3 linked regions of the Lepisosteus oculatus genome follow. The protein of the gene in region 1 binds, or shares a complex with, the protein of each later gene. Links are inferred from orthologs where the notes say so. Each region holds a gene or a part of one and is shown on either strand. Other genes may lie near its edges.

Evidence for each region.
Region 2: the proteins of rnaseh2a (region 1) and rnaseh2c are in contact, whole or in part, in a crystal structure (PDB 3PUF), measured with the Homo sapiens proteins. The link is inferred for Lepisosteus oculatus from reciprocal best matches to the Homo sapiens genes RNASEH2A and RNASEH2C. Residues at the interface, in NP_006388.2 of Homo sapiens: Thr11, Asn99, Ser102, Thr103, Leu106, Gly107, Arg108, Val109, Val196, Glu197, Lys198, Leu199, Glu225, Pro226, Val227, Phe228, Gly229, Phe230, Pro231, Gln232, Phe236, Leu245, Ala249, Glu250, Asp251, Val252, Ile253, Trp254, Glu255, Asp256; in NP_115569.2 of Homo sapiens: Pro33, Cys34, Glu35, Val36, Ala37, Val38, Ala42, Pro43, Val44, Gly45, Arg46, Phe47, Phe48, Pro50, Ala51, Arg53, Ser62, Phe63, Arg64, Gly65, Arg66, Cys67, Leu68, Leu134, Glu135, Thr136, Lys143, Gly146, Ala147, Thr149.
Region 3: the proteins of rnaseh2a (region 1) and rnaseh2b are in contact, whole or in part, in a crystal structure (PDB 3PUF), measured with the Homo sapiens proteins. The link is inferred for Lepisosteus oculatus from reciprocal best matches to the Homo sapiens genes RNASEH2A and RNASEH2B. Residues at the interface, in NP_006388.2 of Homo sapiens: Val227, Phe228, Ile253, Trp254, Glu255, Ser284, His285, Tyr287, Phe288, Arg291, Gly292, Leu293, Glu294, Ser295, Ala296, Thr297, Ser298, Leu299; in NP_078846.2 of Homo sapiens: His16, Phe18, Lys39, Asn42, Gly48, Ala49, Ile50, Val63, Lys64, Val65, Phe66, Lys67, His70, Phe74, Val79, His86, Phe87, Val183, Tyr211, Gly214, Leu215, Asp218, Tyr219.

The regions. Positions count from the first base shown.
Region 1 is NC_090706.1:16,697,642-16,705,100, forward strand, and holds the start of rnaseh2a (ribonuclease H2 subunit A), read right to left. Parts: upstream 3,065-7,459; 5' UTR 3,000-3,064; intron 2,325-2,999; 5' UTR 2,257-2,324; coding exon 2,130-2,256; intron 1,255-2,129; coding exon 1,183-1,254; intron 1,100-1,182; coding exon 973-1,099; intron 559-972; coding exon 471-558; intron 307-470; coding exon 169-306; intron 1-168. Other genes in the region: prdx2 (peroxiredoxin-2), read left to right, coding at 6,410-6,512, 7,271-7,424. UniProt on the Homo sapiens protein: Catalytic subunit of RNase HII, an endonuclease that specifically degrades the RNA of RNA:DNA hybrids. Participates in DNA replication, possibly by mediating the removal of lagging-strand Okazaki fragment RNA primers during DNA replication.
Region 2 is NC_090713.1:22,627,805-22,635,673, forward strand, and holds rnaseh2c (ribonuclease H2 subunit C), read right to left. Parts: upstream 3,037-7,869; 5' UTR 2,963-3,036; exon of another isoform or gene 2,883-2,962; intron 2,241-2,882; 5' UTR 2,240-2,240; coding exon 2,089-2,239; intron 1,692-2,088; coding exon 1,579-1,691; intron 1,356-1,578; coding exon 1,236-1,355; intron 541-1,235; coding exon 517-540; 3' UTR 184-516; downstream 1-183.
Region 3 is NC_090710.1:26,494,624-26,501,654, reverse strand, and holds the start of rnaseh2b (ribonuclease H2 subunit B), read right to left. Parts: upstream 3,075-7,031; 5' UTR 2,811-3,074; coding exon 2,747-2,810; intron 1,713-2,746; coding exon 1,641-1,712; intron 997-1,640; coding exon 889-996; intron 424-888; coding exon 347-423; intron 1-346. Other genes in the region: dleu7 (leukemia-associated protein 7), read left to right, coding at 4,952-5,317, 6,404-6,610. UniProt on the Homo sapiens protein: Non catalytic subunit of RNase H2, an endonuclease that specifically degrades the RNA of RNA:DNA hybrids. Participates in DNA replication, possibly by mediating the removal of lagging-strand Okazaki fragment RNA primers during DNA replication.

The sequences.
Region 1 (7,459 bases):
CGGGGTTTAGTTATGGAACCCAGGGAAGGTACCAGACATATCCACCTAAGTGCTGGCTGAAATGAAAGAGTCCGAGACAGTGCAAAGGCATCCAAAGGCAGAAGAAAGTTATTTCTTCCCCCAGGGCAGTGCCCGGAGCCAAGGCCGATGGGTAGGAAATAGGCTCACCTTGGCACAGATACTGGCGGCGCTGACAATGGGGAAGAGGGAATCAGCTTTGGGCCGGACCGTGACCACTATGCCTGGGAAGCGCTGGGACAGCTTCTCCTGGTACTTCTCAGCTGGGCCCACTGTGTCAACGAACAGCTGCACACAGCCGGGTGGAGAGAGAGAGAGGCAGGAGCAGAGGAGGAAAGAGGGCAATGGGGGGGGAAAAAGATCTTTTGTTTAATTATTGAAAACACGGGCTAGGAAGCAGAGCTCAGACTCAGTTTTTGAACTGCATGGAAAATACAGAAGATGCACCATACCTCTTTGACCTGCACGCCACAGTCCAGCGCATACTGCACCAGCCCTATCGCTGCGTCGTGGGAAAGGGCATTCAGATTGTATTTCGCCCTGTTGGAGAGCAGACGGCAAACCCATCACCTGCTTCAGCATCTAATTCACAATGTGAGCTACAGCACACTGCGGTGCGCGAATTGATTAGTGCAATTTAACAAACAATGAGGTAAACGGGGTAGACACTAGAATCTCCATATGTGTACACTAATATTCTTTTGGTGCCCATTCGTGTTCCCAGTTCATTACCGGACATAATTAAAACAAAAAACACCTCTGAACTCGCTGGCCTCAGCTTTCCCACAATCCTCCCTCCCGCAGCCTCAACGTCTGCCCCCCCCCTCTGCAGCGTCTGCGTCAGGCCATGCACGACGCCAGCCCAGGCCAAAATCGGGGTCCTGCCACGCGCTCCCGACCACGCCCAGCCCGCGCAGAGCGGTGGCCGGCAGGGGGAGCAGGGAGGCGTCGTACCTCTGCAGCATGCCCGTGGAGATGGTGTTGGGGGAGAGGATGTGCAGGGCCCAGCCCACGTAGCTGTTGGCCTCCTCCAGCTGGCCGAACAGATTCTCCCGCTCCACCTCCGACAGGGTCTTGGAATCTGAAAACGAAGCGGGGGAGGAGTCACGGGAACGGACAAGCAAAAACAGGCCTGAAGGAAACGCAGTCCGGCCCGATCATTACCTGCAACTTTCAAATCCTGAAGGTCGGTTTTCTTCGAGATGGGGCAATAGCAGATTCCATAAACCATGGGGCCTAGGAGGAGTATATATATATAAAAAAAGACTCTTTAGTAGACAGAACAGAGCTGTGTTTTTAAAACACAGACAGCCTCACTCACAGCACAAAATAAATTCAACTGGAACTGAAGTAAAACAACGACAGCCCACTCATGTGGGCAGTCCACCTCACCATCTTCAATGGCTAAGCAAGGATCAAAGCCTTCTGGGAGTGAGAAACCTAACCGAGCCAATCTCTTCAATGGGACCCACCAGAAGACAAGCCACAGGAAACCCCTCTGTCCTTGAACACGAACAAGAGCCCACATACCACAGGCCACCTGGGACACATTCCCACCGAGAGGAATTATACACCACTCAGCAGGAAAAGAGTCCGAGTCAAAGCAAAGCGACAGGTCTGATCTGTCCTGCAGACAGGAGGGAAGAATGCCAACACAGAACGTGCTGTATCTGTGCGGTGACGTTCTGAATCGGCACCATGCGTGAAGTTGCCTTACTAGAATCTGCAGCCCAGGACCTGCTACGTGACAGTCCTGCAGGTTTTACTGTCAGAGTTTCAGACTCTCTTTCTTCTGGGTGGCCATGCTTTCTGGTTTCCATTTCAACTTCATTTTAGGCACGTTTATTTCTTTGTATTCTCTGGGATTCTATTCTCACCACACTGGTGGTGGTGGAGGGGAGTCCCCTTTACCTGTAAAGCCCTTTGTGTGGAGGGTCCAGCAAGGACCTATACAAGCCTAAGCTCTACAGCTATATAAATATTATTATTAAAAGTCACTGTGGCTCCTCATACAAAGTCAGAGGATCAACAAAATTATCCAGAGCTCAGCGACAGCAAAGACAGACCCTGCGAGTTTTCCCAAGGGGGGTGGCAGGTTTGCGATTTCTCACCGAGCACGGGGCCCCGTCCGGCCTCGTCGATCCCCAGACAGCAGTCCTCGGTCTTACACACCTCTGGAACAGCCGACGACAGGCGGCAGCTTTGGGAGTTATCTTCCTCGAATTTGCCGAGGTCCATCTTCTTCAACTGCGGGCTCTTTATAAAGAGCCGTCACAAGCGTCCACACTCGGCAAGACTGTAAAATGCTGAATATAAAGCAAACTGACAGTTGAAAATATTGCACGCCCGCTCATATTCCAAAACTGATCGTGTTTCGAACAAGCTATTCGTGAAGCGGTGTCAGCCGGAGCCTGCTGCAGTTTGTGTTAAAGCAGACTGCGTTTTTAAAGGGACTGGCTTCTCCTAGGAAAGGTTTTAAACCTTATGCTGCACAAAAAAAAAACGCTAACTCATCTTTTAGGGTAATCTTTTCTTCTCGGGAAGTCTGCTTTAAAATGGCAGTCGCGAACGGAGAGAAAGCTTTTTTTAATATATGATCGCGACCACTAAAAAGTATCAATTTTACTATGGGTAATCCCTAATACGGTTGAAACATACGCGTTTATTTGTTCGGGCACGGAAAGTAACTAAATGAATAATTCCCCCACGATGGTTTATCAAAATCCGTTTTACCAATTATAAAGCAAAAGTGTTTTAGGTATTTATCGTACTTCACAGCTGATCAAATTTTTACAATGCATGTTCAAAAGATGGGAGTTTTTAATGTATCACGACGGGGGAATTTTAAGTTTCTTTAAAATGTCTCAAATGGTTTTACAAAAACTACTTATCGTAAACAAGAGAGTACTAAAACTCTTTTAATCTCTCTTTTAGGAATACATAAATGATTACAAGCATACAGCGAAACTAGTGCTACTTACAGATTTACACCTACAACTCCTGCAGTTCTGCAGCTTTGCTTAGCGCGCGAGAAACTAACGTTCGACCTTTCACCTTTTGAACTCCTGACGCTATAGTAAATACAAATAAACAATATTTTTTTAATGTGAAACGTAAAAAGAACTACTCAGACTAATGTAATTGTTCTTAAGAGATTAGATTATTCCTCATAAAAGTATAAAATGTTAATAAGTATTATTGTATTTATGTGGTGCGTCATGGGATTTGTAGTTCTTTGTGGTCTAGCGTGCGAGAAAACTACACGAACTGTTCTTTAAAAATATGTAAATATTGGATTCAGTAAAATTACATTCAAAGTAATATGAATATTATTATGTGGAAGTTAGTAATTTGTTATATACACATTTTTAGGCAAAGTAACAGTCAGAAACCAAAATACAATAAAAACAAACTTTTCAAACAAACATCATCTTTTCTTGAAACAATATCCTTACACTTATAAGGCACTTTACAGGTAACCACCAACACCCCACAGTACACTCTCCACCCATCAGTTATCAGTGGAGAGGAGCAATGAAGCCAGTTCGGAGATGGGCAATGATAAGAGGGAAATTTGGCCAGGATGCAGGGGTTACACCCCTACTCTTTTCAAAACAGACCCAGGAGGTCTCCCATCCAGGTACTGGCCAGGTACCTGCTGAGCTCCAATGGGCTGCCAGCTGTGAGTTGATATAGCAATAACATGGTTCTTTCATGTGTGTATCGATCTTTCTATATCCCTCTATATATCTGTTTGTTTTCCAAATGTGTTTCTGTATATTAACCGGTACATTAATAATGTATTTAGTAACGTACTTCGTAATTTTACATGTTTACATTTTTCCCCATATCAATGTTCTCTCGCTTTTCTGTAGGTGAAACTACCAGGCCTAATTTCAGAACATTATTATTATTATATTATTATAATTCTAGATTCGTCTTGAAATGCGACCCGGCGTCACTCTCGCGAGAAGTGGAGTCGGCGGGTTTATCGTGAGGTCACTGGTCACGAGCTCCTCCTGCTGTGGAGTCAAGTGCGAGACCGGAGTTCTGTCTTGCGGACGCGAGAGCGCAGAGCTGTTCGAGCCCTCAGAATAACAACTCGTGAGTGTCCATTGCAGACTGACATGAGATTACACTTTGCATGCCCGGTTAAATTAAGCAATTGCAATTCTGCGTTTTAGTTTTATGCAACTAGTTGTGTGTGTGTGTGAGGAACGTATGCATAGTAAGACTTGATTGTGTCGGGTGGATAGAGCTCAAGAAATGAATGGAGGCGGGCTCTGTCTCCCGCTGTGCTTCATTTTATTCCTTTGTGGAGCGGACTATTATTGAATATGTCGTTTCTATCTTTATACGTTTCTATCTTTATGCGTTCCATAGGGTCAAATGCCGTAGTTTAGTCACACACTTGCTGTGCTGTCTCTTGCATTTGTCATTTATTTGAGAGTAAAGGCTTATTTTCCTTTAGTGCATACTGTGAGCAGAATATGCAGTCCAAATTCCGAAGCGGATTTATTAGGCGAAAATGCGAAACGAGGACAATGAGCTCTTTTGATGCGTTTTGCTGTGTCACTGGAGCTGTTAGAAACAGCGTGTTAGAAGGGAATTGTCTAACTTATCTTGCAGTGACCGAGCCGCAGCTCACTGTGATGATAAGTCTTCCTTGATATCCGATATATTTCGCCCTGCCTTGAAGTCTCTCTATACACTTTTTTTTCTAACCTTCGTGAAGAGCGCCTTTTGTACAATTACTCTAAGACTTCTGTTCTGACCGGTGAATGCGGCGCAGTAATTTAATGAGAAAGGCGCATCGAGTTTCTTAATTTCTCAAGTTCATCTGAAAGATAATCGTAGTTTTTTTCATTACGCGATTAAAACAAGTTTGGGTTCATGCGCTTTCATCGGAAAAGAAAACCGACTAATCTGGGGCTCCCCACTCTGTTGTTGGTTTACACCCCAGCAGAGCTGTAAATCACCAGCGCTGCTTGATGCCTCTTAGTTAACCAACTATCTAAACACGCGAGCGGATAACTTGTTTCTGCGCTCAATACGTGTTTGAGAAATTCCCTATTCCATCCTCGTACTTTGAAGGCTGTTCGCGTTCACAGCTTCAAACTGTTTCTCCTCAAATGTAGGGGCCGTTTGTGCGTGACCTGCTGCTAATAGGTGATTTTTGACGAGTGCTCGCAGCATGTCACGTGTCAAACACCCACACTGGGCGTGTTTTTTCCCCGTAGTGTCTTGATCAGGTAATAGCTGAATGTGGGGGAGTCTGAACTCCAGTCACTGGGGCAGGGAGGAAGTCTGTTATCAGCCGCCGAGATTATTTAATCGTGCCATAAATAAAAAAAATAGAAATCAATTAACCACTCATCAGGAGCTCCGCTGGAATGAAATCCAGAGAGCACATGGGTGCCCCCAAGGACTTGCTCCTTTTTATATCCGGCTGTTTCCAAAGCCGGAGGCACAGGGGAGCTGTAGGATTAGTGACTTGCATGTGACTATGGAGTTCTGCACAGCTCCGTTGTTTTAAATCGGTCTTGGGGGTGACGGGTGTTTATTGCCACCCCTGAAGGCTGCGAGGGGCGCGTGCGAGCGTGTGGTGGGACGGAGACGTCTCGGGGCCCCTCGTGTGCACCCGCGCCCCACCTCCCCCTCCTGAGCGCTCCGTTAGGCTCGAGGTGCTCTTGCCCCTCCCCCACTTTATAGAGCCAGTGCTGGGAAGGGGGACCGAGCGCAGATCTGAGCGTGGGGAATTCTCGAGAAGAAGAAGAGGGGAACCCCCCCCCCCCCTCTGAATTACCCCGGCGAGTTCCTCTTGCTCGAGCGAGGGAAAGGAACGTGTACAGCTGCACGGCCCTCTTCCAGGAAACTGCTACAGCCTTTTCTTACGACAGCAGTTGAGACCGGTTTCTATGGGCCAGTGTCCCAACCAAATCTCCCCCTGGCCTGTACCGATCATGGCCTCCTAATAATCCCCATCTTGAATTGGCTTCATCACTCTGTTCTCCTCCCCCCGATAGCTGGTGTGTGGTGAGTGTACTGGCGCGCTATGGCTGCTGTCGCACCATCCAGGTGGGGCAACACACTGGTGGTGGAGGGGAGTCCCCATTACCTGTAAAGCCCTTTGAGTGGAGCATCCAGAAACATGTTAGAATGATGAAAATGTGGTGAAAAGGGAATCGGGCCGGTCAGCCCTTGTCTAACGGGTGCAGGAGCTGTGTGCCCCATCTCTCCGAAGACCTGTCCTAGCTGAGCTCTCGCGTGCTGGCTGATCCTCCTCGGTGGAGGCTTGCCTTGCGCTGTCTCGGTACTGCCGAGCAATCCAGTGCTGGATTGACACCACCACCCTGCGTCTTTTTTTTTTTCCTTGCAGCCGCCAGCTGGAATGTCTTCTGGGAACGCCAAGATCGGGAAGCCCGCCCCCCACTTCCAGGCCACGGCGGTGGTGGACGGCCAGTTCAAGGAGATCAAGCTGTCGGACTACAGAGGTAACGCGGCGGCGGCGCCATCTCTGCGCCGTTCCCCCGGGGACGAAGTCGCCGACAAGCACAGCCCCGTCTCTCACACGGCGTCTTGGGCTTTTGAGTTTCAGAGCCTTTTTTTTTTGCCTTGCGTTTAACTGTCATGTTCCACCAGAGGTGGAAGTGAAACCAGCCAAAAATACTGAACCACCAAGCTTCTGTTCTGTGAGGCCTGAGAGGGGTCGGCTTTATCACATTAGCAACCTCTCTGTCCACGAAAGAGCTTATGTTTTTGTTCATGGAGGGGAAAGCGCGTCCCTCTGCCCGGAGCAGATCTCGATACGGCATTGGGGACCGTCAGGAAAAAGCCAGATAGGACTCTGGGATTAATTACCTCTTAACTCCGAAAAATGCAAGGCAGGCCACCTACAAACCCACATGAGTTCTGTCAGCTTTCGAAGCGTCTGGTGCAGAATCGTCCTACTGTAGAATTTCCCCCTAAAGGAGTTTTTTTTTCCTCTTTTCTCACCACTCGACTGTCATGTGATGTCCCGTCAAGAATCGGCCTTGTTTCACGGTTTAATGCTTTTTGTCCCCTCTTTCGCTCTCTCTCTCTCTCTCTTCCAGTATGCAGCAGGGATGTTTATCTTCAAGCTGCGTAGGGTTTTTTCAGTGAAGTTTTCCCTGTTCCAATGCCTGTATAATGGTGTTAGAGCAGTGGGTCAACCTCTGACACTCTCTCTCTCTCTCTCCCCCCCCCTCCTCGAATGGCTCGACCCCGCCAGGGAAGTACGTGGTCTTCTTCTTCTACCCCCTGGACTTCACCTTCGTCTGCCCCACGGAGATCGTGGCCTTCAGTGACCGCGCCGAGGAATTCCGCAAGATCAACTGCGAGGTGATCGCTGCCTCCACGGACTCGCAGTTCTCTCACCTGGCCTGGTGAGTGGGGGTCCGGGGGGGGGAGTCAGAGCTCT
Region 2 (7,869 bases), on another chromosome or scaffold:
CCTCTGTGTGTTTATTTTAGTATTTCAGCACCTGGTGTTAAGAGAGTTACTTCACACAGACACACACAAAGTTCTGGCGTGGGGTGGAGGGGTGTCAAGGAATGGGGCGCGGGTGGCCCTCTCCAGCCCTGTTGCTCGGCTGCTCTCGGGGTCACCCGGGACAGAAGAGTCGGTCAGCTAGGCTCCACACAAGGGCTCGTCCCGTTCTTTATTAATAAGACATCAGAGCACAGAGCACAGCATTTCCCCCATCACCTCACAGCAGGCTGTAGGGCCTTCCTGGCACAGGCGGTCAGTCCGAAGGTCGAACTCGAGCAGCAGGGAGCTGTCCTTCACTGTCCACACCGACTGAACCGTCATCGCAGCGGGCTGGGGGGAGACCAGGCTCACGGAGCTCGGCCCCTGTGTGTGTGTACATATGTGTGTCTGCAGATATACGTGTGTGTGTGATGCTATATACATGTGTGCGGGCAGGTTACTGCCTCCTGGTTCCAGGTGCGAGGCTGTAGAGCTTTTCTAGTCTTCGACAGGCCCGTGGATCTGAGGGAGAGAGAGACTGTGAGTCTGGGACAGCGTGGATCTTAGGGAGAGAGTCTGGGAGTCTGGGACAGCGTGGATCTGAGGGAGAGAGAGTCTGTGAGTCTGGGACAGTGTGGATCTGAGGGAGAGAGTCTGTGAGTCTGGGACAGTGTGGATCTGAGGGAGAGAGTCTGTGAGTCTGGGACAGTGTGGATCTGAGAGAGAGAGACTGGGAGTCTGGGACAGCGTGGATCTGAGGGAGAGAGAGTCTGGGAGTCTGGGACAGCGTGGATCTGAGGGAGAGAGAGTCTGGGAGTCTGGGACAGCGTGGATTTGAGGGAGAGAGAGACTGGGAGTCTGGGACAGCGTGGATCTGAGGGAGAGAGAGACTGGGAGTCTGGGACAGCGTGGATCTGAGGGAGAGAGTCTGGGAGTCTGGGACAGCGTGGATCTGAGGGAGAGAGTCTGGGAGTCTGGGACAGCGTGGATCTGAGGGAGAGAGTCTGGGACAGCGTGGATCTGAGGGAGAGAGTCTGGGACTCTGGGACAGCGTGGATCTGAGGGAGAGAGAGACTGGGACTCTGGGACAGTGTGGATCTGAGGGAGAGAGACTGGGAGTCTGGGACAGCGTGGATCTGAGGGAGAGAGACTGGGAAAGCGTGGATCTGAGGGAGAGAGAGTCTGTGACTGGGAGAGAGACTGGGAGAACCACTCACTGCTCCCGCGATGTCCGGCCAGCTCATCGCCATGGCAACGCCATCGTCCGAGGAGGGCGGCGTCTCCAGGTTCCAGTAGGTCAGGCTGCTGAAGACCGTCCTGACCCTCAGTGAGCGCTCCTGGCCGAGACAGAGCAGAGCGCGCCCCCCCACAGGTGAGTAAGACAGCCCCCCGGCTGTGGAGTCGAACCCGGGGCCCCAGGAGCTGACGGCTCACGTCACACAAAATTAACTTTTTTTTTCCAAGGAAGAAAGTGCCCAGTGATTATTCCTCCTCCGAAACTCCCTCCTGCTCGGGCTCACCTGTGCCCCCCCCCCCCCCCCCCCACACCCCGGCGCTCACCTCCTCCTCGGAGACGGGCCTGTGGTCCTCTTTCAGCACCAGGCCCGTGTAGCCCTCCGGACAGCTGACCTCCCGGCCTCTGAGCCCACGGCCCCGGAACGACACGCTCTTGTCTGGGGGGGGGACAAGGTCACGCAAGGTCACAGGAAACCCCACCTTAAATACATTTAAGACTGAGAATGGGAGGTGCCACTTTACACCAAGAGTTGTGGGGGTGTGGAACAAGCTGCCCAGCCCTGTTGTCGAAGCCGATACCCTGGTTTCCGTCAGGACACAGCTGGAGGAGCTCCTCCAGGCAGGACAGGAGGCCCTTTACACAGAGGGTGGCGGGGGTGTGGAACAAGCTGCCCAGCCGTGTAGCTGAAGCCGATACCCCGCCTCCTCGGAACGTCTGGATGAAATCCTGGGATCAGTTACTACCGACTAGGGAACGGGCCAGGGGAGCTGCTCACACTGGGGCCGAGCCGGGCCACAGGTCGGGTCTGCCGGTCTGAGGCCCGGCTCGCTCACCGCTCTCGCGCTCCTTGACCGCGGCGCTGAAGAAGCGGTCCACCTGGGCCGGCCCGTCGTGCTCGACCTCGCAGGGCAGGAGGTGGACGGGCTCCCCGTCGGCCCGCGAGACGGAGGCCAGGTCCACTCGGATCACACTGGTGCCGGACATCCTGGAGGAGAACACAGGCCGTCAGTCTCCCCTGTGCACCGGTCAGTCTGAGCCGGACTCTCCTCTGTGCACCGGTCAGTCTGAGCCGGACTCTCCTCTGTGCACCGGTCAGTCTGAACCGGACTCTGCCCTGTGCACCGGTCAGTCTGAGCCGGACTCTCCCCTGTGCATGGGTCAGCCTGAGACGGACTCTGCGCTGTGCACCGGTCAGCCTGAGCCGGACTCTCCCCTGTGCACGGGTCAGTCTGAGACGGACTCTCCCCTGTGCACGGGTCAGTCTGAGACGGACTCTCCCCTGTGCACCGGTCAGTCTGAGCCGGACTCTCCCCAGTGCACAGGCCCCGTATCCCTCAGTATAGATCATCAATCGGGTCAGTACCGAATGCACCGGGAGCACCCGGCCAGAACTGTCTTTTCGAGAAAGCTGACTGTTTATTTGTGTTCACTGGTGTGCAGGCTGCACCTCTCGGCCTCTAGAAACACACTCAAGCCAGGGGGAATCCAACAGCTCAGCCGTCCCGAAAAAAGTTCATCAATCAGAAAAGGTTTTAAAACATGAACGACACCGACACACTCTTTAGCTAAAACTAAAGGCAACATTTCAGCGGAAAAGACGGACAACGCGTTCTTTGAGCAGACTTACACTAACGGAGCAACACGGCTCTTTAAAACACAGATTTTGGCACAAATTAACAAAGGAAAAGCAATTGAACGGAAGCAAACCTCTAGCGCGCGTCTTCAGGCACAAATTCAGTCCGCGCTGCCGTGTCATCACTTTGCGCCGGGCGCTTGTAGGCTGCGCAGCGATCCCTGGGAAATGTAGTCTTGGGACGTGACCCGTGTGCTTCTCACCTTGCCCACAAGAGGTCAGTGTTGTCTGCCACATCGCCGTGGCGGCGCTCGCTACAACAGCTTGTTTACACGATGCAAGGACCCAGAATTTCTTCCTGCGGCCAAAACACTTGCTGTGCGTACAAAGGACAGACATAAAGAGTATACAACTTAAATTCTTAACTGAATAAAGATTCTCCCTCAGCAGTGATCGGGATTCGAAACCGGGTGTTTTCTGGCGACAGCTCAAATGCTGTACAGGAGAGGTTAAGCTTTATTAGCGCCACCTGGCGGTTTTACAAGGTGATTGTAATGTTTTACTATTAACATAATCTAATTTGCCTACGGTGTGGCGCGGTATGACGCGTTTAGATGCAATACGCCCACCGCGTTGTACCGCAGCGTAACCCGCTTGTTTTGAATGGCTGCATCTGTGTAATCAGTGTAAAATTAACAGCGATACCATACAATACAGTGCATCTTTGTATTGGCGCATACATGCAAAAAAGCATTTCATTGCACTTGTGCGTACGACGATAAACTGAAGTGCTGAGAAAATCTGCAGAGTCGCGTGTGACGTGTGTATGTGCCCTGAGGGGCTCGTGGATCAGAGTTGGAAACCATAAAGGCGCTGGGGATGAATGACTTCTAAAAAATGTTGCCGTAACCTTCGGCACTCTGAAACGTCATCGCGGCGGTCCTTTTTCAAAGTGGGACCGCAGTGAATGTGAGGCGTCGTTCACTGAGAACACTGCTTCACTGTGATCGGTGTACGTGCGGATACGGATACCGATATTCAGAACAAGGCCCACTCTCCACAGACTAGCCGCGTGTATCTGTAGGCGGGCTCAGTTCTCTCTCTCTCTTCTCTCTGGGCTTTTATTTCCAGAGTCCTCTCCTGGCTCCGGTTCGTAAGAGTGGATGCTTTATCTGTATCGGTCGAATGTTCTTCCCTGCAGGAGGTCAGATAAGGCCCTATCGTCCGCACGCAGACGCGAGAGGAAAAAAACAGCGCTGTCGGTGATCTGCGTTTCATCCGTGTGGAGCGAGAACTGCACTGGCTGACAAAACCCATCGTCACCAACGCCCTTCCCCGACAGCAGGGCTCTCTGGGATCGATCACTGAGGAAACAGGTGCCGAACCACTCAAATCTGTATTAATGATGACATTTTAAAAATATGTTATGAAAACATGGAGAAATGGCAAATAACACATTTATGCATATTATTATTATTATTATTATTATTATTATTATTATTATTATTATGTGCTACCACACAGCGCCTTAGACCTGAGTCAATTCTCCTGGACCTGGATCCTTCTGGGTGGAGTCTGCATGTTGTCGGCCTGGCCCGAGCTCTGGGGGGGCCGTAACGTCTGTGAGTTTTCCTGCCTCCTCAGCGCTGGTCGATGTGTGGGTGTGGCTGATCAGCGCACTGCTGCAGTTTGACACCTTTCTGTGGCCGTGGCTGCTTGCTGTCGAAGTGAGACATGTATACATCTCACTCGTCCGGCATCACAGCAGCACCACTTAAGCACATCGTGAGAGGAGTTGCTGGGGTCTGGTAATTTAGCAAATTAACACAAAAGTTACACTAAGATGCCATAAAGCTGATTTGCTTTAGCAGCCCCAGTGGCTTAACGCTACATAGTAAACAACAGGAACAACACCCACAAACAGGACACAGCAGACCAATGTCTACTGCAGCTCAAAGGACAGAACCCAGAGCAAGACAGAGCAGGACAAGAGGTTATTACATATCAAAGAACAGGACAAGCACTCGGATCGTGAAACAAACTTTCTTCTGACTGTCTATAAGAGCTGGGAGACCCTTGCAGCCTGTCTGTTCTGTGGGGCCGACCCAGCGAGCGTTGTGGGACTTATTGAGCTCAATAAAACTGAATCTGCACAAGGCTGCGTCCTGCTCCTCTGAGGAAGAATTCCCCACAACACTGCCGATAAAGGCAGTACTTCCTGTTGGCACTGCACTCTGAGATCAGATAAGATCAGATCAGACTTTAGTTGAGGCGTTTGTGAGTTTGTGAGTACGATCCCTCCCAGTGAGACCCTGCAGGCTCCACGGAGACACAGCGAGGAATCAAGAGTCCAGCTCACCTGACATTCGGCAGGAGGTGTGATTCTACAGAGCAGAGCAGTAACACGTCAGAGACGATGGGCTGCAGTCCGGCCCGAGCTCATCTTGTTGATTCAGTGCCCTGATGGCACTCCGAAAATAGCTTTTAGGTGAGGTTGTGACTTTTTCATTTTTGTCTTTTTTTTTTTGTGCAAGTGCCGGAGCGATGAGTCTCTTGTGACCCAGCCCGTGTGGTGTTCTGCCCTGCTGACAAGATTGAAAACGACTCACATCTTCTTCATGGGTCCGAGGTGTCCAGTCCTGGAGGGCCAGGGTGTTCAGAGATGATAGAATCAGCTCTTGAATTCAGACATGTGAAGCTAAATTGTGTTATTTACCAACATCTTGAACTGATTTTTATCGCCTCAACACACACCAGTATAGTTGGTTATATTATACTGTTATAGTATAACATAGTTTGTTATATTACACTATACTGGAAAAAGGCGCCGTCCTTCGGATGAGACGTAAAACCAAGGTCCTGACTCTCTGTGGTCATTAAAAACCCCAGGGCGTTTCTCAAGAACATTCAGGGTGTAACCCCAGTGTCCTGGCCATATTCCCCCCTGGCCTTCACCCATCATGGCCTCCTAATAACCCCCCTCTCTGAACTGGCTCCATCACTCTGCTCTCCTCCCCACTGAGAGCTGGGGTGTGGGGAGCGGACTGGAGCATCATCCAGGTGGGGGTGGAGGGGATCCCCATGACCTGTAAAGAACTCTAAGTGGAGGGCCCAGAAAAGCGCTATATAAGTGTGAGCAATTATTACTATTATTGTTGTTATTATAGTAGAGAGCACAGATCCAGATCCGGGATCCGGAGCGCCCTACTGCGTTTGTATCGGCTCCGCTCCGAGCTCCGGCTCCGGGTCTTGCGGAAGTGTCCGTGCTCGGCAGCTCGGGAGCGCGCTCTGCGCTCGCCTGGGCTGGGTGTGTGTTTCAAAAGATTTAGCAACACATGCGACCGAGAGGCGGAGGCGAGGCTGTGAAATAGGAACTCAGACTCGCCCGGAGAGTTCAGAGTCACACATACAGACCGAGAACACGGCCGATAGAGAAAGGGCAAGGTACAGTAAACCAGCTTTTTCTGCTGCAAAAAAAAAAGAAAGTTTTGGAAAATCGCGCATCTTTAGTCACGGGGTCTCTGACAGCTCTGCTGCTGCTGTTGGGTTTGGTCCCGGGGGGTTCGGCTCAGAAACTTCTTGGGGCCACCGCGCAGGGAACTTGGGGTAATGCGATCGAGCTCCTCTGAGCCAAAACAGGGAGGGAGAAGAGGGGGGGGTCGGCGTGGGCGTCTCGCCAGGGCGGCAGCTTCACAAGAAGACAGAGGAAAAAGCGCAGCTTCCGCGTCGAGCCCTCGCTGAGCGCAGACTCGTCACAACAATCAATTCGCGTGGCTCCAGCGGGGTTTCGACTCTGGGAGCGTGCCCGTGTCGTGTCCGTGTCGTGTCGTGTCGTGTCGTGCGGGGCCGTGCAAACGCACCGTGGCGCAGCGAGTCGTTGTTAAACACGCACAGTACTGGCCCCCAGCCGCGGAGCTGCGGAGCTCGCTCTCTCTTCCTCTTCCTCTGCAGGAGCGGTTTGTCGGAGCCGATCTCTGGATACCCTGTGATGGGGTATTTCTCGCGCTCCTGGGGGGGGCATTTTGAAACGAGCAGACGCTGGCGAGTTCTGGGCACGAGGCGTGTGTGGGTGTGAGAGGGGAGGGGGGTGTGTGTGGGTGTGTGGGGGGGCCGGGAGTTCACTGTTGTTCCGTGTGGGATACTGCAGTATCCCGGTGGGAAGGGTGTTTCAGACAGCGGCCTGACAGTGTGTCTGTGCATCAGCGTGTGTGACCGTTGTCTCAGGTGTGCTGGAGTCTGGGACAGTCAGAGAGAGACTGTGTGTGTGTCAGTGTGTGTGTCAGCTTGTGTGACAGTTGTCTCAGGTCTGCTGGAGTCTGGGACGGTCAGAGAGAGACTGTGTGTATCAGTGCATCAGTGTGTCAGTGTGTTTGAGTTCTGTCTCAGGTCTGCTGGACTCTGGGACAGTCAGAGAGAGACTGTGTGTGACTGCTGTCTCAGGTGCTGTTGCAGGAGCAGACTGGGAGTCGGAGAGAGAGAGACCCCACACAGGGGCTGCCCACACTGCCTGTCCCAGAGCATCACTGAGCCAACAGCTGGAGCCCTGGGGCAGTGAGCAGAATATTCACTGAACGGACTCCTGCTGGCCCTTCCTCTCTGAGCACTGGTGCACCCTCCTCCTGAACTTGAACTTGATCTTTATTGCCATATGTAACCGGTACTGGTACAATGGAATTCTTACTGACAGGAAGTCTCTCGATTGTAAAACAAGTGTAAAAAAACAAAACAAAGTGCAAACAGTGCATCAAGACAATATACAAACAAACAGTAGACAATGTGCAAGTAAACATGCAGACAGTTTGAATGTAAACAATACAGACGTGTAAACAATGACTGGAGACGTACAATTAATAAATTACAATGAGGTAGATGGTGATGGTGTAGGTGTGGTCCGAGGGCGATGGCTAAATGTGTTCGCCAGTCTCACTGCTTGTGGATAGAAGCTATTGAAGAATCTAGTGGTCAGTGTCCGTATGCTCTTATATCTCTTGCCTGAGGGCAGTGGGGTGAGGAGCTCATGCCCGGGGTGGTGACTGTCCTC
Region 3 (7,031 bases), on another chromosome or scaffold:
AAATGGTTGGATATGCTCCTTGAATTAATTAGCAGTTTACAACCATATAACACAAGTGGACCAAAAGGCCTTGTCTGTTCCGTAATGTTTCTTATTAAACAGATTCTACAGCATGCCTCTAAAAACTATTTTCATTTCTTTGTATTTGGGAATTTGACAATTTTCACTTTTACTTTGCCAGCACCTTAAAGTACTCCTACACAGCATTAACATATAAGCATGTGTACTGTGCAGCAATGCCAAACTCAATATAGTCATCAGAATACCAGGAGTCATGGTGGTGTGTTTTATAAAGATATGGTCAGGCTAAAATAGGAGAACTTATTCTTACTTATACTGTACATACCTCTTTCCCAGCTTTTAACAGGTAAGGCAACAAAAGGTACAGAGGGTCCATTGGTGTTACATACAGCAGTCTTCCATCTACAAGTATTTTTTAATTAAACAGAAAAGTATGTTGTCTACAGATTAAAATAATACACAGGTATTGTTAAACAAAATTGTCTATATTGTCCACTATATTGGCAACAAGAGAGTAAGCACACATAAATGTTCAATTTTTAAAAATTGTAGAAGCTGCTCTGACATAAATCTTTATAACAGTAACTTCAGTTGCCAAAAAAGACTAGATGCAGTGACATATGCTATTACAGCAGGCAGAATTTAATAAGTTTAAATATGTTTTGGTTAGTTATTTTAAGTTTGAGTTCCTGACCTAATTCTGAGCACAGTGTGGTCTAGTGTGTGAGAAAGCATGATTCTCTACTCGCCACACAAGATCGAACTCCACAAATTTTATAATGTATGAAAAAATACTTTGTTTATTGAGTCTTAATCTATGAGGAGTTTAAAATTAAAAACTATTACTTCTTATTTCATAACACTCACCTCGCTGCACTGTTTGTCCAATAAACCAGGAGTGATAATCTTCATTAAAAGCTTTCACCTCATACAGCTGCAGGTCGCCACCCCCAAAGAGGTACAGAGAACCAACATCTAGTAGAGAAGCAAAGGTACTGTAACTCTCAAAATTGGCTGACCTGATATAACTTCCTCTGTCCCCTATCTTGCATGACATAACTTGTACTGTACAGAGTGTTGAGCTGTCAAAGAAGGGTTAACATCTTTCTCTACATGTAAGTGGTGGATAAACTGTGACTACAGGACCTGATGCAGCATATTTCTCACCTAAATATCAACATACGTGGAGGTTGCAAAGGAACAAGTAATAGGTTTATTCCATGCTGAAAAGAGAAGAAAGAAAACACAACGTTTTGGCCGTGGAGCCTTCTTCAGGTGTGACTGGTTTCTGGGAAAACTGGTCCTTGGTGTGAGTGTGTGCGTGTCCGTGTCTGTCGGATAGGCTCCACCACCACACTAAACTAAACTGGAAGAACTGGTTAAAAATGGATGGATGGATATTAACCTGCACGATTTTGCAATTTCTCTCCAAATTTATTTGACTGACAACGTTAGAAACAGACTGCAGATTTCTCTTTAGCAATAGAAAAAGACATCTCCCACCTCCTTTTCTGTCTCAGGATTTCTCCAAATACAACAGCTTTATGTTGTAAACCCTTGTTCACAGAAAGGAAAAATGCCACCTACCAGCCGTTAAGAAAGAATGGCGGATTGCTTACTTGATGCAGGATTTCGAAGATGAACAAAAACAGGATCACTGTTTGGCTTCTTTTTTCCATCAATGACTGAATCTGTAAACAGGAGGGAACATGGATATTCACAGATCCAGGGGTCTTCTAAAATACACATCAAAATCTACTGAGTATTTAACTATCGTGTACCACTAAAATGATCAAATTATTCAGAAAATGTCCCTTAGGCCTTATAATTAAATATGACACAAAACATAAAACTATAATCGTACAGAAGAATTAGGCAGGTTTTTCAGAAAATGTTTAAAATTGATTGGACAATGTACTGGTCAAAAACGTGTATGTAATGTCCAAACAGTAATTGGTCAGGCATTAAACAAAACAAACCAAGCAGATATGAAACTGGCACTACAGTATCATTTATTTATTGGGCCTTGTATTTCGTGTTGCTACAATGTCAAGCTGGTCCTTTTTATACTATGAACAGGCACCAAAGAAAAGTAGCCCAAGTTTCGGCGTTAACAATTCAAAGTTACGAACACCATTAAGACATGTTTCAACAGATCCCTTTATCGTATAAAGCAAAACTATAAAACCAGTAACACAGCTGTATTTTCTACGTGAACATTAAAATATGAAGGCTGTTCATCTTGTTCAAAGCAGTCCCGACAGTTTTTGAGAGCCTCGGTCGGCGTACATTTCAGAATAGACTAATTCAAGAACGGAGCCAACAGGATTAAACGAGGAGGAGGGAGGTGGTCGTGGCATCTCAATGCTGCGTTAACTTTTATAATAATTTCGTTTACTTATTTTATTTGCTCACTGCAAAAATGGAAATGAGAGGGGCACATAGTGCTGAAAAGCACCGATATACTACTCTGTCATACATCATTTCCAAGGCCGAGAACTATATCCACCACAGTATTTTTCGTGTGAACCCGTGCAGAATATCCTTGCTCTGTCTCTCGTGAAAACTGTCAATACCTTTAAGGAGAAGTAATTGTTTAAAAAAAAACACTTAAAGCAGCGATTAAGTTTGCAGGACAGACGTCTTCACACACCTCGGTTCAGAGATGGGCATGGCGGCTGTAACCTGCATTAAAGCCGCCTAGAGTCGACCCCGTATAGCTTACCTGCAGCTATAACAACCCACTGGTCTGCCTGCGTGTTTGACTGACGCTTTCTTCTTGTAGTCATGTTTGGAAAAGTTTTTTAAAAAGGCTGTAAAACATAAATTGTTATGCGAGAGTACTAACAAAACTAAGAAGCTAAAAATGGCGGTAAAATTCTTAATAACTTCGACGGGGGAAGCATATCTTTAAGACTTTTTACACTGATGTATAAAAAGAAAGATATATTTTTCAGAAAATAACGAAATCATATAATGTTACTAATGTACAGTCTGTTGATGTAGACCACTTTTATGACAAGAGATCACACAGGGTTGTTACGCTTCTCTGTTCAGTGAATTCCCTTAAAATTGGTCTGTCCCATTGTCGTCATTTTAAAGAGACAGTGACCCACTCCTTCCTTTTTTGTGTCACGAGTTTACTTAAATCGCACATCTTTTTTCTAAAACAAAAACATTGCCTTATTTTTCTTAGTACAATGCAGATATCCTGCTTTATTCTAAATTTAATAATACCGTGGGGTGTCGGAAACGTTAAAGTGGCAGCATGTTTTTCGTTTCTGCTTTATGAAATGAACTGCAGAAAATAGTTGCTCCGCTTTTATTTATTCTTGGTAAAAATTATATAAATACTCTTAGAAATTCAGTTTTCGAGCTAAGAGGCTCGCCACAATGCATTTTATTTCTGTAGCGTAAAGGGACAAAGGGGTACGTGACTCACCCTGTATTTATTCTATCCTATCACATTAATAATGAATGTTATTTACACCAGTGCTGGTACAGTACACAGTTCTTATATACAGCTGGATGAACAAAACACGTGTACAAAATGTAGAGATTTCAGCACTGAAATTAAGACTGGTCCGAGCGAGGAAAACTAATGGTGAAATGCAGTGCTCAACTTACACACAATTTCAGAGTGAGTAATGAGCTTTTGCATAGACAAGCTTTGTATCTCTTCGAAGAAAAATGAGATTAGCATTATCAATGCAAAGCTGCAAAAAGTACGTTGTGTAAAATAAGAAAAGCGTGTCTGTGAGGATAGGTAGCGTCACATAATGTACCCCATCTGTACAAATGTGCAGTGTGTTAGCCTGTATAAGTCTATAATGTGTAATTAATATTAAAAATTACTTTTACTTTTATAGAGACTAAGGATGCAATAAATCCGAGAGTCCGTATAGTCCCTTCATGATTTTGGAACAGTTTGTCAATTAAAATCCTAATAACACTGGGCTGTGAAATTCAACATAGTGTTTTAACTCACGCCTGTACTCCAGCAAAGATTGCATTGTCGTTCGCTCACATTTATGTTTGTATTTACAGTGTTAGTGTTAATTTGGGCTTGTTGTTGTGTTCGCTATTTTCCACTTAATCCAAACGCAAATACATGTTATTTAGGGTGGTAGGAGTGGGGCGTGGATTTACACACCGGTTCTTTTCTGTGTGTAAATTCGAAAACAATTCCTTTGTTTCATCACATACTGTGTAGGGTATTTACTAGGGCGTTATAAGGGAGAGCCCTTCGTCCGTGATGTGAACCAGCACTCCTAACTGCTCACAGCTGCAGTTTGCATAAATGCGCCATTTATACAACAATGTGAAATATCTCATCGGAGCTTTACTACACTTAGGATGATGTTTTAAACCATGCTCATGTTGCACAACATCCTCCCATTTTCAATGCGCATACCCCGTCGCAAAACGTGGTGCAAAAAGTTGCTTTGTATTTATACTCTGAAAGGTGACCGATTTGTAAGATGAAAAACGGTCGCGTTCTCTGCCCCTTCTCTACGCGGACCTACTGAAAATGAAATTCCCATCTGCACCAGCCATTGTGAATATTTTTTTTTAAATAGAATAATACACCCTGTCGTAAAGGATAGGAATTTGGTTATCTTTAAACGCCCCTGTCTCCCTCATGGCGAAAACCAGTTCTGCCGTATTTTTACATTTCAAAAGACGGAGAAGCGCATCCTGGTTGGGTAGGATCAGCAGCGCCCCTCAATAACGGAAATCTGGTGGTGCGCAAAGAGCGCTTGAACTGTGCCGGGCAGCCCGTCGGAGCCGCTTTGTGAGACTGTTTCGCACCTGCTCTCGAAGTTAAGAGCGCAGGGAGGGGGGCTCCTGCTTGCGGGGTCGCTTTTTGGTTCCGAGCCGTATATATATATATTTTTTCTTTTTCTTGTTGCGGCTTGGAGGTAGTAAAATGCAGGCGGAGGTCTTACTGAACGCGTCCATCGCGCATCAGGCAGAAGCGCTGAAGCTGCTGCAGCAGCAGGTGGACCTGAAACAAAGAGGCGGCGTGACGCGCGACAGATGCGGCGGGCAAGCGCCCGTCTCCGGCAGGAGCTCACTGCGGGAGCGCGTTAACCCCAACGACGGGGCTGTTTTGAAGAGGGGCTCAGGCTGGCCGGCTCGATCCGACAGAGGATGCGAAGTCCGTACTCTAGCCGTGAGAGCCCGAGAAAGTGCCTTTTGTAAGTTAACCGAGATAGCTTCCCAAGTTATTTCCACGGAGCAAGACATTTGCCGCTTTCTCTCCCCGAACCGGGGAATCGTAATGCACCCCAAGGTAGGAGACTGTCTGCTGGTGTTTCTTGTTGAAATATAAAATGTAGGGGGGGGCAGTTATAAGACTTTTAGGTTTCATTAAATTAAAATCGACTTTTCAAAGTGTTTATAAACTGATTTTAGATGGTAGCTAAAGATCGTGTTACAGTCTTGTGCTCCAGCGTTTCGTTTCATTCAGTAATTTTCAGACAGCCTTTTTAGTTGGGTTGAGGATCGGCGCGACCACCTTTGTACAAAAAATATCCAGTTCTGGAGCTGGACGGCCAAAAATTCTTGCAGCATATACCGAATTATTTATAAGCAAGAATGTGATGTTCTAGGGATGAAAAAACACATTTCACGTTATATTCGTTGTAATGGCAGTCCTCACTGGCGACAATGTGATGGACGCTTACTTTAGACATTAGCTCACAGCGCTAAACTGAGTTTGATAAAGAAGTACAGATAACCAAAAATACTTAAACTTTGGGTCTATTTCTTGTCCAGGAGAGCTGGATATAAGAAAATCTTCTGTCACTCTTAATTTCCCCGTTTATGGAGACTGGGAACACGCGAGATTTGATTCATTTAGCAAGCGACTCGGTTCAATACGTCAGGCGGGGGTGACATGGTGATGGTATTTTCGTTTCAAGTGATCTCTACCAACTTCTGAGTCGAGCAGTTGACTCATAAAACCTGCTTGGCGAGTTTCCAAACCCAGGGTTACCCTGGTAAAATGTATAAATTAAATTGGCTCGTGAGTAAAAAAATGTAGGAATGTAAGAAAACCTGCTCTCACTATTCAGCCCTTCACTAATTGGAAATGGTTTTAAATATTTCTAAGAAAAACAGGTAAGATGTGTTTTATCTGGGTGGAGTACTGGAGTGTTGACTGTGGTAATACCCCAGTGCAACAGATAAGTGAACCATAAAACAAGGCCTGGAGGTTTAGTGTGGTTAATACGACAGTTTAGGTTTGTGTCAAATATTCGGCTGTTTTGTCGCTATGTGTTTTAATTCTAGAGAATGTTCTGTGCTCATTTTTCTTATTGGGTATCATGTTTTCTCTGGTTCTAATTGCTCTTTTTCTGCCTTTTGTCTCCTAAAGGACAGTATTGATCTCCAAAACATCTGTATACGCATGGCGGCACGGGCCGATGGGCACCAGTCAGACAAGGACTTGAAAGAGCTAAGGGACTGCTTGAAAACCATTGTCGACAGCCTGCTTTTGTCCCTGAGTCACTACAGCTCTCCTTCACACACACAGGCAAGAGGACAGCTCCTGCAAATCTGTGAAACGTTTCCTGACGTTTGAAAAGTCCTTATCCTCAAAAGGGGGCTTCAGCATAGGAAATCACTCTTTCATACTTCATGGATTGAATTACTGTACGGAGGTTGACCTTTTGCAGAAACCCAGAAAGAGAAGTGTGATACCATGTATTTTTTTAATGTATTACTTCCGTTGAACAGCTCAAAAAAGCTGTGATTGCTTAGTGTTCAACTGAAGGAGTAGGAGGATGGACCATGTAAGAATCAAGTGGCCCAGGAATGCTCCATCCAATCTGATAACATTTTCACTTTCTAAAAGTAGAGCAAAAACATGGCAGATAACTAGATTGCTGGTAACAGATAGCAGCTGTAAAATAGCTCCTTTCATGCCCGCTGTATCATGAGTGATCTTAGTTTAATAAAGGAAAGACTGTGTTTATTCTCACATTCGTTTATCTGGGAGAGTG